Linked DNA regions of Bombyx mori. The protein of the gene in region 3 binds, or shares a complex with, the protein of the main gene of each other region. Links are inferred from orthologs where the notes say so. Each region holds a gene or a part of one and is shown on either strand. Other genes may lie near its edges. The genes, in order: N6-adenosine-methyltransferase non-catalytic subunit, RNA-binding protein spenito and protein virilizer.

What was found.
Region 1: protein virilizer (region 3) and N6-adenosine-methyltransferase non-catalytic subunit share a complex: the UniProt entries of both Drosophila melanogaster proteins name them as parts of the WMM complex. The link is inferred for Bombyx mori from reciprocal best matches to the Drosophila melanogaster genes vir and Mettl14.
Region 2: protein virilizer (region 3) and RNA-binding protein spenito share a complex: the UniProt entries of both Drosophila melanogaster proteins name them as parts of the WMM complex. The link is inferred for Bombyx mori from reciprocal best matches to the Drosophila melanogaster genes vir and nito.

The regions. Positions count from the first base shown.
Region 1 is NC_085109.1:13,109,372-13,113,517, forward strand, and holds the start of N6-adenosine-methyltransferase non-catalytic subunit, read right to left. Parts: upstream 2,929-4,146; 5' UTR 2,877-2,928; exon of another isoform or gene 2,809-2,876; intron 2,309-2,808; coding exon 2,243-2,308; intron 2,167-2,242; coding exon 2,002-2,166; intron 1,550-2,001; coding exon 1,349-1,549; intron 1-1,348. UniProt on the Drosophila melanogaster protein: Non-catalytic component of the WMM complex, a complex that mediates N6-methyladenosine (m6A) methylation of mRNAs, a modification that plays a role in the efficiency of mRNA splicing and is required for sex determination.
Region 2 is NC_085125.1:10,174,406-10,178,596, reverse strand, and holds the start of RNA-binding protein spenito, read right to left. Parts: upstream 2,827-4,191; coding exon 580-2,826; 3' UTR 1-579. UniProt on the Drosophila melanogaster protein: RNA-binding protein that acts as an associated component of the WMM complex, a complex that mediates N6-methyladenosine (m6A) methylation of mRNAs. M6a modification plays a role in the efficiency of mRNA splicing and is required for sex determination.
Region 3 is NC_085117.1:6,048,814-6,053,159, reverse strand, and holds the start of protein virilizer, read right to left. Parts: upstream 2,848-4,346; 5' UTR 2,746-2,847; coding exon 2,683-2,745; intron 2,604-2,682; coding exon 2,312-2,603; intron 313-2,311; coding exon 1-312. UniProt on the Drosophila melanogaster protein: Associated component of the WMM complex, a complex that mediates N6-methyladenosine (m6A) methylation of mRNAs, a modification that plays a role in the efficiency of mRNA splicing and is required for sex determination.

The DNA.
Region 1 (4,146 bases), on a different chromosome or scaffold from region 3:
TATCTGAGCATAGATAGATGGTGGTAATGATAACATTTCTGGTTATGATAGTATGGCTGTTAATTCAACAGCATGGATCAAACTGTGATGATTACGATCAAAGTGGTCAAAATTCAATATCTACAATTTGGGCGACTGCACTATTTTCCCTGGTTTTTGCGTGTGGTAGAAATGTTTATTTATTAATTTATTTATTTAAGGATTACCTACAGGGTTTACAGTAAGACATAAAATAACATTGACATGTTTAGAGCAATTGATAACTGCAACTCTAATTATAGGTAATCACAGCATGCATTACATTAACATATTAATAGAGATTTAACATACTATAAATAATAATAAAAAATTAAAAACAGAAAGACAACAAGGACAGTAATACCCGAGTACTCAGACCAAGGCCGAGGCTGAGATTTAACAACAACTTTTTATAATTTTGTTCTTAAATATTGGAAGGGAATAAAGTATAATATATTTAAAAGTATTATTACGGTTTAATCTTACGGTTTTTATTGTCATTATAATATTTGGGACGATTTATACTACTTTACAGTTTTTGTGGTCAAGAATAACTAAGATATTATTTGCTGACATTTGATTTTTTTTTATTGCTTAGATGGGTGGACAAGCGCACAGCCCACCGGATTTTAAGTGGTTACTGGAGCCCATAGACATCTACAACGTAAATGCACCACCCACTTTGAGATATAAGTTCTAAGGTCTCAGTATAGTTACAATACAATATAGGCTGCTCCGCCCTTCAAACTGAAATGGATTATGTACTGCTTCGCGGCAGAAATGGGCGGGGTGATGGTACCTACCCGTGCAGACTCACAAGAGTCACAATATTGACTATTGACTACCCTCTCTTATTGTATTAACATTCAGGTAATTGCCTGAACTAATTAGATTTTGCATTTATCCCTCGATGCTATTAGGTGGGGTTGGTTATCATGCCTGTCAGGTATGACATTGGATAGTATTGTAAAGAGGATGTTACAAAATGGGTTAACCTTGTTAGAATTAAGCCCATAAGACCCAGCAAAGTTATGTTTTGTGCAAAGGCTTTTGCAAAATCTAACTTATTTACTTTAGTTCTTCTGGATTTTATTTTTTTTATACCAAAAATGAAGCAAATCAGAAAGCCAATATTTAATTATCATTAATTCATCATCATCATCATCATCAACAGCCCATAGTCGTACACTGCTGGACATAGGCCTCTCCCAATCCACACCACTGAGCCTGGTCTACGGCTCTTCTCATCCCACTTCTTGCCGGCCAGCGTTTGGAGGTCATCACAGCACCTAGCCAGAGAGAGTCATCAGATAATACTTTATTTATTTACCTTGAGATCACATTTCAAATACATAGGTGGTGTTGCAGTTTCCGCAATTAAATCGTCTTTCAGTTTAATGAGTTCACGTAATTTCGGATATTCCTCAAACCTGTCAGCGAGCCCAACATCTCTGATATAGTTTTGTGGCCTCTGACCTGTGTCAACAAAGTGCTGACAATAGTCATTGTGAGGATTTGATGACTGCGTGCCCTGAAATCAATTTTAGTATGAAATTGTAGTGTCCCTTGGCTCTTTTCAATAATATATCACAATAACACACTTATCATTGTTAAATTCACAGTGTAGAGTGACCAACATTTGTATAAAAATTAATTTGTTCACAATAAGTCAATCTTCAATGTGTATATCATAAAATCATAACCCCTTACTAATGTGTGAATGATTTAAGTGGTAGATACATTTAATACAGCCAAGTACACTATACACAAATCAAGATAAATAATAAATGAATATAAACCCACTTATGAAAATTATCAGAGCACTTTGATCAATTAGTTTACAGTTTTTTGCATGGGTAGATTGAGGTTAGTCATTAGGAAAGATATTTAATTTGCCGATAGATACAAGGTCTTAACCTTTAAAATACTCTAGAATTTCTGTTAACTGCTTCGACATCTTTAATTACAAAAAAAGTAACAAACCTTCAAAAATGTAGAGGAGTCGGTGTATACAAGTTCATCCGGTTGGTCCTTACTGGTGGGTTTATCTCCTTCACCTCCGCTTCCAGACACAGCTTGTTTTTTAACAGGTACGTCTAGAGCTGAACCCAGCGCATGTCTTAATTCGCTCACACTCGAGACACCTAACTGAAGAAATAACAGTTGTCATGGACTAAAACCTTTTTTATGTATTTAAAACTAAATTAAATTGATGCTTACTTACTGTCTGTGCTAGAAGCTTTTTTCGTTTTTGAGATCTCTCGCGTAGTTCTCTTAATTTCTCACTCATCTTTCATTAAAATAAATCGTAAAATAATTAATAATAAAATAAACAAAACGACAATCAAAACATGATTGTTTTTGCTTATTAATTATCCACCGAACAGGTAAAGGGATCATAGTCCATAAGGATAAAACCAATATTTTTGTAACCAAAAGCCAAGTTCATTTGGTTTGTATGAAACGTCAAATGCTACAAGAAATTTAAAGAGCAGGGATGGGTAAATATTTTGATAGTCGGGCCACATTGCAGATGAAAATTTGACCTCGAGCCAAACAGCTTTTTTTTCTAATTTTATTGTGCGACTATTATACATACTTTAATTGTTCTATTATTTTAATAATTTTTTCGAATAGGAGTCGCTGAAAAGAGCCGTTGTCCGGGAGAAAATTTTGGCTCCCACCGGCCCTGTTAATGTGTTGAAAAGTATTGCTTAATATATTATAAAAAAAAAATGCACTATAGTGAGGGGTAGATCTCAGGGGTATTTAAAACTATGGGTTAGTCACCAATATCGAATTTCGAATTTTAATCTTCCTTTATAACAAACAATTTTCAATTTTTAAACAATAATTACATTTAGACGCGGGCGCACGCTATTCACACTCAAAACGGAAGCGCCCGGAACATAGATTATACACTGTTGAAAAGATGGACATAGATACTAACTATGTATAGCGAGCGGGCATACGGCCGCGAGAGTAACGTACCGGTCGGTTTGCTACAGCACCAATTTATGTTAGACAAAAACTAATATTTGTGTTTTTAATAATAATATATACAATGCTTCACGGGCCAGACAAAATTCTAGAGCGGGCCGGATTTGGCCCGCGGGCCGCCATTTGCCCAGGCTTGGTATAGAGGATAGAGGTAAGGAGAACCGTCTCATATGGGAGAAGTGGGTGTCTCACTTTCAGCACTAAGTAATAGTTCAAAAATCCTCCAGAATGGCGCTAGCATAGGCACAGGGTATGATATGAATTGAGCAGTTGTTAACTGATTGAGATATGCTGAGTTAGGTTTAATATATATAATGACTAGAGTAGTTAGTGACAGTGTAATATACAAGACCTCACATGTTTACGTAGTCCAAACTAATTTCGTCAATATATCCTAAAGTTTTTACTATAGTAAAACGTGCAGACATCGAAAAAAAAAAAGATTGTATTTTCTTATCAGCTTTAAATAAAATACTTTTTGTGATTTTGTAAGGCTTAGAGTTCTTTCGTCCCTTTTTATTTCTCTATCTTATTCTTATAGCTTTTAGCGCCTTTTTTTAAATTTACCCGGATGCTACTGTAGCGCTACCCTTATTTAGCAGATTTTAATGGACACTTTTTCACACAGAGACGGCTCTCCTTACCTCTATCCTCCATAAAGAAATGAAATGGAAAGTTAAATAAAACTCGATGAGACAAGAGCTGGATCGCGAAGAGTTAAGTTAGAAAGTTAAATAAAAAATATATTTTTTAGGTTATAGTTATTTTTTTTAGAAAAATAGACTTATAAAAAACTAATTTAACATTTCTCTCGGTTTTGCATTAAGTAGACTTATTAAAAACTACTATTACGGCTTAATCTCGCGTTTTATTGTCATTATATTATTTCAACCGATTCGAATACTTTTCATTATTCGTAGTCACAGACGACTAAAGTGTTATTCGTCATAGTTATTAATACTTTATTCTTCGACATTTACTTAGAAAATTGTGATAACTAACGTCTATTTTTCTATATATATTTTCTAGATATTCACGTTCCATTTTATACAGAACGAGCTAATAGTTGCCAGACCTTCAGGCTGTTTGTTGTACTTCGGTTGTCATTGTGCAGATAAAAGGATCCCA
Region 2 (4,191 bases), on a different chromosome or scaffold from region 3:
AATTGTAGAAAATTTGTCTTCAATTGACTCTAAATTTGGTAATTTTACTGTTAAAACCACAACACACCACTGACTTGTTGTTCCACTGTACATCCTTTTATAATCATTTTTTTGCAAATTAATGGACATACCAAAACATAAATTCACAATACTTTTTTTTTTGGAACACCTTAACATCACAAAACCACTAATGGATCAACTGCACTGGATATGTCACTTAATCACAAGGTTTAAAAAAACAACTTTCAAAATTAAAATAATCTATTTGTTTTGTTCACACACTACACATCACCTAAATCATACACTGAATATTATACACTTAACTTTAAAAAAGTAAGATAAACTTCTTTTAGTCGGATATCTAGCTGAACTAGCTTCTATACTGTACATTTTCATCAAAGTTAATTCTGATCACTGTGAGAACACAGCACTGCACAAATATTTAAACTTGCACATCTTATGCACCTCACATCACACACATCACAAGAATATAAAGTAAAAAGTGTAGAACAAAAAACTTAAATTAAGAGTATATACCTACAAATAACAATACAATATACTAAAGCAGTGTTTGAATAATTAAGCAGTGCCACCTCGTACTACTACTATAACTAGGTGATCTTCCTTAAAACTCTCTTCAGTTAAATTGTGACACGTTCTTTTGAGAAGGTCAGTTGAAAATTCACATGGAGGGAAAGAATAAAGAACTCCAGTAGCTTCAGTCTCTTTGTTCAAAAGTGATATCACACCTGCTGCTTCTTTTTGTTTAAGATATGATACCAAATTCCTCATTGGTCGTGTTTGTATCGAAACATCTTCATTGGTGACTACAGCAGTAGAACCAGACACACCCACAAAAATGGCATGAGAGCTAGATGTGGCAATACGTTTTTGAACATCATCTAACTTAGGTTGATCCAAACGTAATCTTTGTGTGATTCTGAGCTGTTTTCTACCATCTTCATCTTTCATGAGACTATCAATAATTTCAGAGTCACCGTCTGTTAAATGCAACTTAGTAGGAAACAATGAATTTTTGAGAATCAGTGCTCCATGCCAAATTGTAGTTGCTTTACGAACTAATTCTGCCATTGTTCGTGACGAAGATAGCATCCCACTACTTCTACGCATTGATCCATCAGAGTCACTATCAGGTGATCTACGACGAGATCGTGAGCGTGACCTATCGACTCCAGGCTCCCTTGATCCAGAACGACGCAAGCGACTCTCATATTCTGAATCTAATGGAGCACGTCTCCATTCTTCGTCACGATAATCTCCTGTACCATGATAGACACCTCTGTAGGAGCCACGTCCACGGCCACGATGCCCACCTCTACCCCTATAAGTACCATAGCTATAACCATCCTCCCAAGAACTACCTTCATATCCCTCATATCCTTCAACAGGCCTACCATCTTCACCAACAGGTGCACTGTAAGGTTTAGGTCTATAGGGTCCACCTGTTCCAACGTCTGCGAAATCAATACGCAAACGTCGCTCCGGTCCCCCTAAAGGAAAGCCCCGCATTTCTTTGACAGCAGCTTGGGCTGCATCAATAGAGTCATATAAAATATAGGCATGAGGTTCACCCTTCACATATTCAATCTTTTTAATGGCACCAAACCTATCAAATTCTCTCTCTAACTGTGCTACTGAAGTCCATGGTCCCAGGCCACCCACCCAGACACGTGTTGTGGGTGTAGCTTTGCCATAACCTATTTTACATTGAAATTTGCCAATGTATTGGCCTGATAATTCAACTTTGGCTCTGTGTGCCATGTCCAAAGTTTGATAACGAACAAATGCAAAAGCATTTCCAGTACCTGGAGGAGGTCTTTTAATGTCAATGTCCTCTACTATACCATAGCGTCCAAAAATTCGGCGTAACTCTTCATCAGAAATGTTTATTTCTAAATTACCAGCGAAAAGAGTTCTTGTAGCTAATGGATCATCTTCAGGTTGAACATGGTGTAGGTAATTTGGAAATTTATCTTTTTTGTTCTCAATTTTCTCAAATGGAGGATGGTGAGGCCGGGGCATGTATGGACGTGGCATATAATGGGGATGTGGAGGGTGATGCATAGGTGGTCTGTGATGCATTGGAGGCCCATGAGGACCTGCCATGGGATACTCATGCATAGGAGGGCGGAAATCTCTATGGTGAGGTGGCACTGTAGGAGGGATACCATAGGCTCTCTCATCAGGAGGGGGACGACGTCTCTCTGGTACAGGAGACCAAGCGTATGAATAAGGGCGATCATAGTCAGGAGGAGTTATACTACGAGGCCTCGGTCTGTACTCAGAACGTACAGGTTCATAAACAGGATCAACAATAGCAACTTTATCATACAGTATTATCCTAGGCTTGGCATGTTTAGCGTCTCTCGCATCCTCTGCACTTCGGAAGCAGATGTAGGCTACTCTCTCATCCAACTCATGGGATATTTTTATACTAAAGTCACCATACTTCTTATATTCTCTATACAAAGTATCCTTGACAATCTCATCCGACGCTTTAGGGTGTAAAGCACTAACACATAGTACTTTGTAGTAGCTGCGGACAGATTCATCTCGAGCATCACGAGAACGCACGTAATCATCGCGATGAGGTGACACATATCGACCGCGCGGGCTAGGGGAGCGTACTCGACGTCGTACTCGTTCCGGGCTTCCACGCTCGTCAGAGCTATCGTCATACCTACCAATACTGCTGCGTGTCCGTTTTGATCGCGGCATACTATCACGCGACGAACTTCGCTTCATATTGCGAATTTTCACCGTAATTCGATCTCTATCTCTATCGCTACGCGGTAATCCAATCATGAAAGCTCACTTCGACGAACTACTATCTGAAATACACATCACAATATTACACGTCACTGTAAATTAGTTTTGGTCGATACAATAAAGTAACCCACTGATGCACTATTCTTACCCCAAACGAATTACAAACACTAATCACTCAGCAGATCACTGAAAACCTCAATCTTGGACGAACTAATTCGTATTATTAAGTAGACAATTATTTTAAAATAATCACGTTCACTTCAACTTTATTTAATGTAAATTTGAAATTAGAAGCGCTGATAAGCATCAAGAATATCGACCATTACATGGGAATCTCACAAAATGGCAGTTTGGCTGAGGGTTGCCAAATGTGATTTCTGAATTTCTTGTACATATTTCCCCAAATTATTTTGCCGTTTCTTCTGAGTTGTATTATGTACGATAGGTACGCTGTTTCGGTTCTGTAACCAGCTTTACGGGTAGCGGATTTTGTCCGATAAGTGTTTTTTGGGTCTTCATCGAGTTGATCTTAAAACCAACTTTGGCGCTTCCAACTATATATCGTCCAGTTTGGATTGCATGCAGACAACTTCATGATTAAAAAAACATTAGTCATCAGCATGGTCTAGACCATCCAATTCTTTGGACAACCCCCACATAACAAGTCACATCCATGCTACTGTCGAAATTGCTATGATTTAATTAACTAATTGTTGTAATATGGACTGCTAAACTGAATACTTAATAGAGAAAATTACTGATCTGTATCCCAAGAGAAGTAAAGCTACCTATGATCTGGACTTTTTGGCGGGAACGCGAGAAGTGAAGTTGTGTGCTTTGTTTTATTTAATAGTGTTTCTTAGGTTTGAATGTGTAATAACGTGGTTTATTAACTATTTAGTATCTGTGAAAGTGCACAAATGGGAAAATGAAACAAAGCCACTGAACGTAACTTCTCGGGATCTTCCAAAAAGTTCACTGAAAAAGTCTCAGCAAATGACCCCTATTTTACTGAGATTATACTTCATTCCATATCATCTTATCTCATTTCATTTCATTTCGTTTTCATTTCATGCCATGTATAATAATAATCAACTTCATTTCATTTCATAATATCATTTTTCATTAAAAAAGCTGTCATTAAAATTAAAAAAAGACATGACCAAAAAGTCTTAGTTACCAGATCATAAAATCACTTTAAAAAAATGCTACCAGTGTAGTACCGTAAAATGGGGCGATTAGGGACAAATTCCAACTTTATGAGCAATTTTATGGTAGTTGTTGATGTATATAATGCTATATCAGGATCAAAATGATTGAGTCTTGGGGGCATCTTTGTTGTCTAATTTAAAATTATGCAACTAGCATTCCAGTTTAAGCAAAAAATGCAAAAATAGGTCT
Region 3 (4,346 bases):
GATAAGTCCTAGGATCTTTCGGAGGCTCGTTTTCATAATATTCATTTCGATAAATTGGATTTTCATAATTTTCTGGATACGTATTAGGAGTATAGACATCGGGGTTGGTGCTGGCGACATTACCAGTGTATGATGGTATTGGATTGGTTGGCTCTGGATTCCAGTCAGGTGGTTGTGTCACATTTGCTGGTGGCGCATCTCGGTTGACTGCGGGTCTTTGAATAGTGGGAGGGGGATTGATACCAACTGGTGTTTCTGGTAAAATCTGTGTGAGCGTCCCGTAAACAGCAAGAGTGATGGTAGTGTAACATCCTGAAATTATGTAACATTGTGTTAATGAGTGTAAAAGGTAGAAATTGACAATGTTATAAATAATATAAAATATAAAAATAGGCAAGGGTATTACTTCAACTGTAGGTTAATTCATCACCAGCTTATGAAATTGAAAAGAATAACAAAAGTTGTTTGAATGTCATTTCCATCAGAAACTTAAGAGGAAAACAGATTATTTTCAAATTGATATTGTTACGGTTAGAGTAAAACCATCTGACATTGACTAGCAGAAACGAATATCAAAAGAACTAGCAATATCTAGAATGCTCGAATAGTGGAAACCCTTATTGAAACTACTCGCCCTATCAAGAATGTTCTCGATAATTGTAGAGTGTTTGTGTCAAGTATAAAAGCATTGCAGAGATGACATGAAGGCAGTTAGTAATCGGATCTACTCATAGCGAAACAGCTAATGGATCACCTGAAGCGAAGCAGAAGAAGTATATCACGAATTGTAGTGTTCTAAGTGTTAAATAGAGTTTTAATTTGTACTTTGGTGGAAGTTTTATTTATCTTGAGCCCCAGCATGTAACAATATTAAGAGTCAATGTTCACTTGTAAGGATTACCCTAAGTGGCACCCACAAAGTGCATAGCCATGTCTAGATATGTAACTGTAAGGGGTTTTTTCACATTCCCATTTTAATTACAATAATAATATTCATAGGACAGTCTAGTTTTTACTTTAATTTACACTTCTATTTAGTTTTTTTACACTTTTAATTTATTTAGATCTGTCAGAGATGTCAAAATGATTTTTTTTTATATTTCCTCCTGAATATGTGTATTACTTCATTAAACTACTATTGAAGGGGTTGAAATTATGAATTTAAGCATATTTTTGTATTGTTTTTGAATAAAATCACAATTAGGCATTGATGGTGTAATAAAAAAGTCTACATCAAACTTCATGAACATTTTTCATTGCACATTACACAGTGCCTGAAAACAAAAGATCAACCAGTGAATTTAACTGGTTATGACTCACGGACTCGAACTGTGAATACTCACAGTGCCATAATCCATCAGTTCAAGGTGCACAGCGAGCCATGGAAAGAGCTATGTTTGTTCTCTGAACGACAAAATCAGTTGAATTACCTCATTATTCAACAGAGAATTAAATCAACTACATAACTTAGAGAGTCAGTAAGCTGCAGTAGCAGTGAACTGGACATATATGACATACTGATGATTGCTGGAGTAGAAGGGTTCTTGAGTGGATGGCTTGCAATAGCAAATGTAATGTGAGGCACTCCACAGCTAGGTGGTGAGATTAACTTCAAAGGATGGCCAATTAAAGATAGATGGGAAAAAAACAAACACTGGGCTCGGTGATGTAGATTAGGAGAGGTGTTTGTCCATCAGTGGGCAGCTGTGGGCTGTTGATGATAAGTGTGTGCTTTTTAAGCAAAATTAGTTAAAGAAGTAAGTTTTGATTTTTCAAGAAATGTGTATTATTTCTCTCTTGTAAATAATTTTGCAAACTAGGTAGTAGGTGCAACAAATGGTTTATCATGACTTCATTAAAAACCCAATATGAAAATAGGCTTAAATTAAACATAAAAAGTAATTCTTCTTACAGCTCGACATCAGAGCTACCCCTGAATAATAGGCTATCATTTATTTAAGATAGACCCTGTATATATCGTTTTGGAAATTTCAATTAAGTATTGTGCAACTGGACATGAAACCAAAAATGCATATTGCTACACAATTGAGAATTTAAATCCATTTGAACAAAAACCCTTTCAACCAAATAAGCTCACTTTGCTCATCTATGGTAATATAATGAAAATCACTAATCATATATTATTACATTTCTGGTGCCAGGTATCAAACCATAAGGAAAATAAAACTGCCTGTTTTCTTACCTTTATGTTTACTTACTTTTATCTACATAATTATATGAACACATTGTTTCGTCAGTCAAGAAGAATTCAGTCCAAATGAACATCTTGAAACAGGTTATAATTACTGACCTCTTAATACAAGGCCATCAGTAGGGATTCTAGGATGGTCCCCATCAGCTCCACACTCCATATGAATCTGTCCATTTTGACAGTAGTCCAAACTACCCAAAGCTTCGAAAGTGGAAGCTCCAGGCTTACTCAGATCATTCACGAAAAAGTCGATATGAAACTTCGTAGGGTTTGTGGCGCCTAACCGAACTCGACCGGGAAAGTCTCCTTCAACTCGGGCACCCAATGGAATAACACGTATTTCTCTTACATAGACAGACTTTGGAAACTGTACTAAATCCAGATTCAATTCCTGTAATAACAAAGCGAAGAATGGTTTTGAAAAACAAGCAAAACATTAAGTCGATTTGATTGATAAATATACTGTTTACCTCGCTTGTGTCGTGTGAGAACGTATCAAAGAATAATAGATCGGGTTTCTCAGAGTTCGTCATTGTATTGTTTCATTTAATATTAGTAATTTGTATTCACATGAATTTACTAATATTTTAGAATTAGAAGCATAGATTCTATAATCTACAATCTACAGTATCAGTACAGTAGTTTTATTTTTCCAAATGGAAAGGCAAAGGTACCATACCATACAGCCTAATCTTTTATAATATATATATATATTTATGAAATATTATATTATGAAATAAAATGAAGTTGATTAATAATAATTAAAATAAATAAATAAATATGAAAATGGCATGAAATGAAATGAAATGAAATGAGATGACATGGTATGTTACGGGATATTTTTATGAAAAATGATAATATGGAGTGAAATGATGATGATTAATTTGAGATATTAATCAACTGGGATGAAATTAAAAGAAATAAGATGAGATGATTTGGGATGAAATATTATCTCAGTAAAATGGTGGTCATTTTCGGTCATTTTCGGTTTTCATTGGTCGAATTGTAAGTATCTATCCAAATAAATTAAAATCGGTTATTTTCTCTCATGATATAGATGTATAAGGTGGTTCGGTCATAGACCTTTATTACATCAATGGGTTATTATTAGTTAACACCGTCAAATTCTGTCAAAGGTTCTTTTTTATTAAAATTATGTATTATCTGAAAAGATATAAAGATATATAGACAAATAAAATCGTGTTACGATTATTTTTGTAACTAATGCTCGTTGAAAAATAAAAGTTTCATTTCTTATCATGACATCAATCTTATATATTTATGACAAATTAAAAAAGAAAAAGCGGGTAATTTTTGACAAATAACTTTTTAATCTTTATATGGATTTCATCAGGTTTCATATTGAGTTTTTTGTATTCTTTAACGATGTTTAAATATCTTTACATGTGTGCATACTTGCCTCAAATCAAAACCTAAATGTTTCTATGTCCTAGGTACTTTTCATTAATAGAGGATCTCAGAAAGGCCTTTGTCTTCGCCACTTTGTCTGTTGAAGTTTGGGTATTTTTATTTCAGTGGCTCACGTACCACTATGTGGAATGATTTTTTTTGTTTTAGCGTGTAGGTATTTGGATTTGTTCAAAGCTTATCCTCAATATACATACCTGTTATGTATGAGATTGGCAAAGTTAGAGCAGAGCTGTGCACACGAACGACCGAAATATTATCCTTAACTCCTTTAACCAATACTACAAGCTGTAGTCCAGTTTGAAGGCACCTAGATGTAACATAGATCTGTAACATTCACATTCAACATTAGATATCCACTAGATAGATGCACGCTTACATAATGTGTAGCCAATCTTGTATGTCGGGACACACCCTTGGCATACGACATAAACACAAGATTAAATGTCTACGGAACCGCTGTACCACTTCACTGTACTTGTCTGCCACAAGTTTGCTCGATTATTAATATAGTTGTCATTACGGATCCTCCCGATCCATTAACAGTGCTTTTAGGTACCACAAGCACTCGTCACCGTCCTCATCGAACCCGTCGCTTGCAACGAAGGGCTCGACGAGCGAATTAACCCATAGACACAGCCCACTGAGTTTCTCGCCGGATCTTCTCGGTGGGTCGCGTTTCCGATCTGGTGGTAGATTCTGTGAA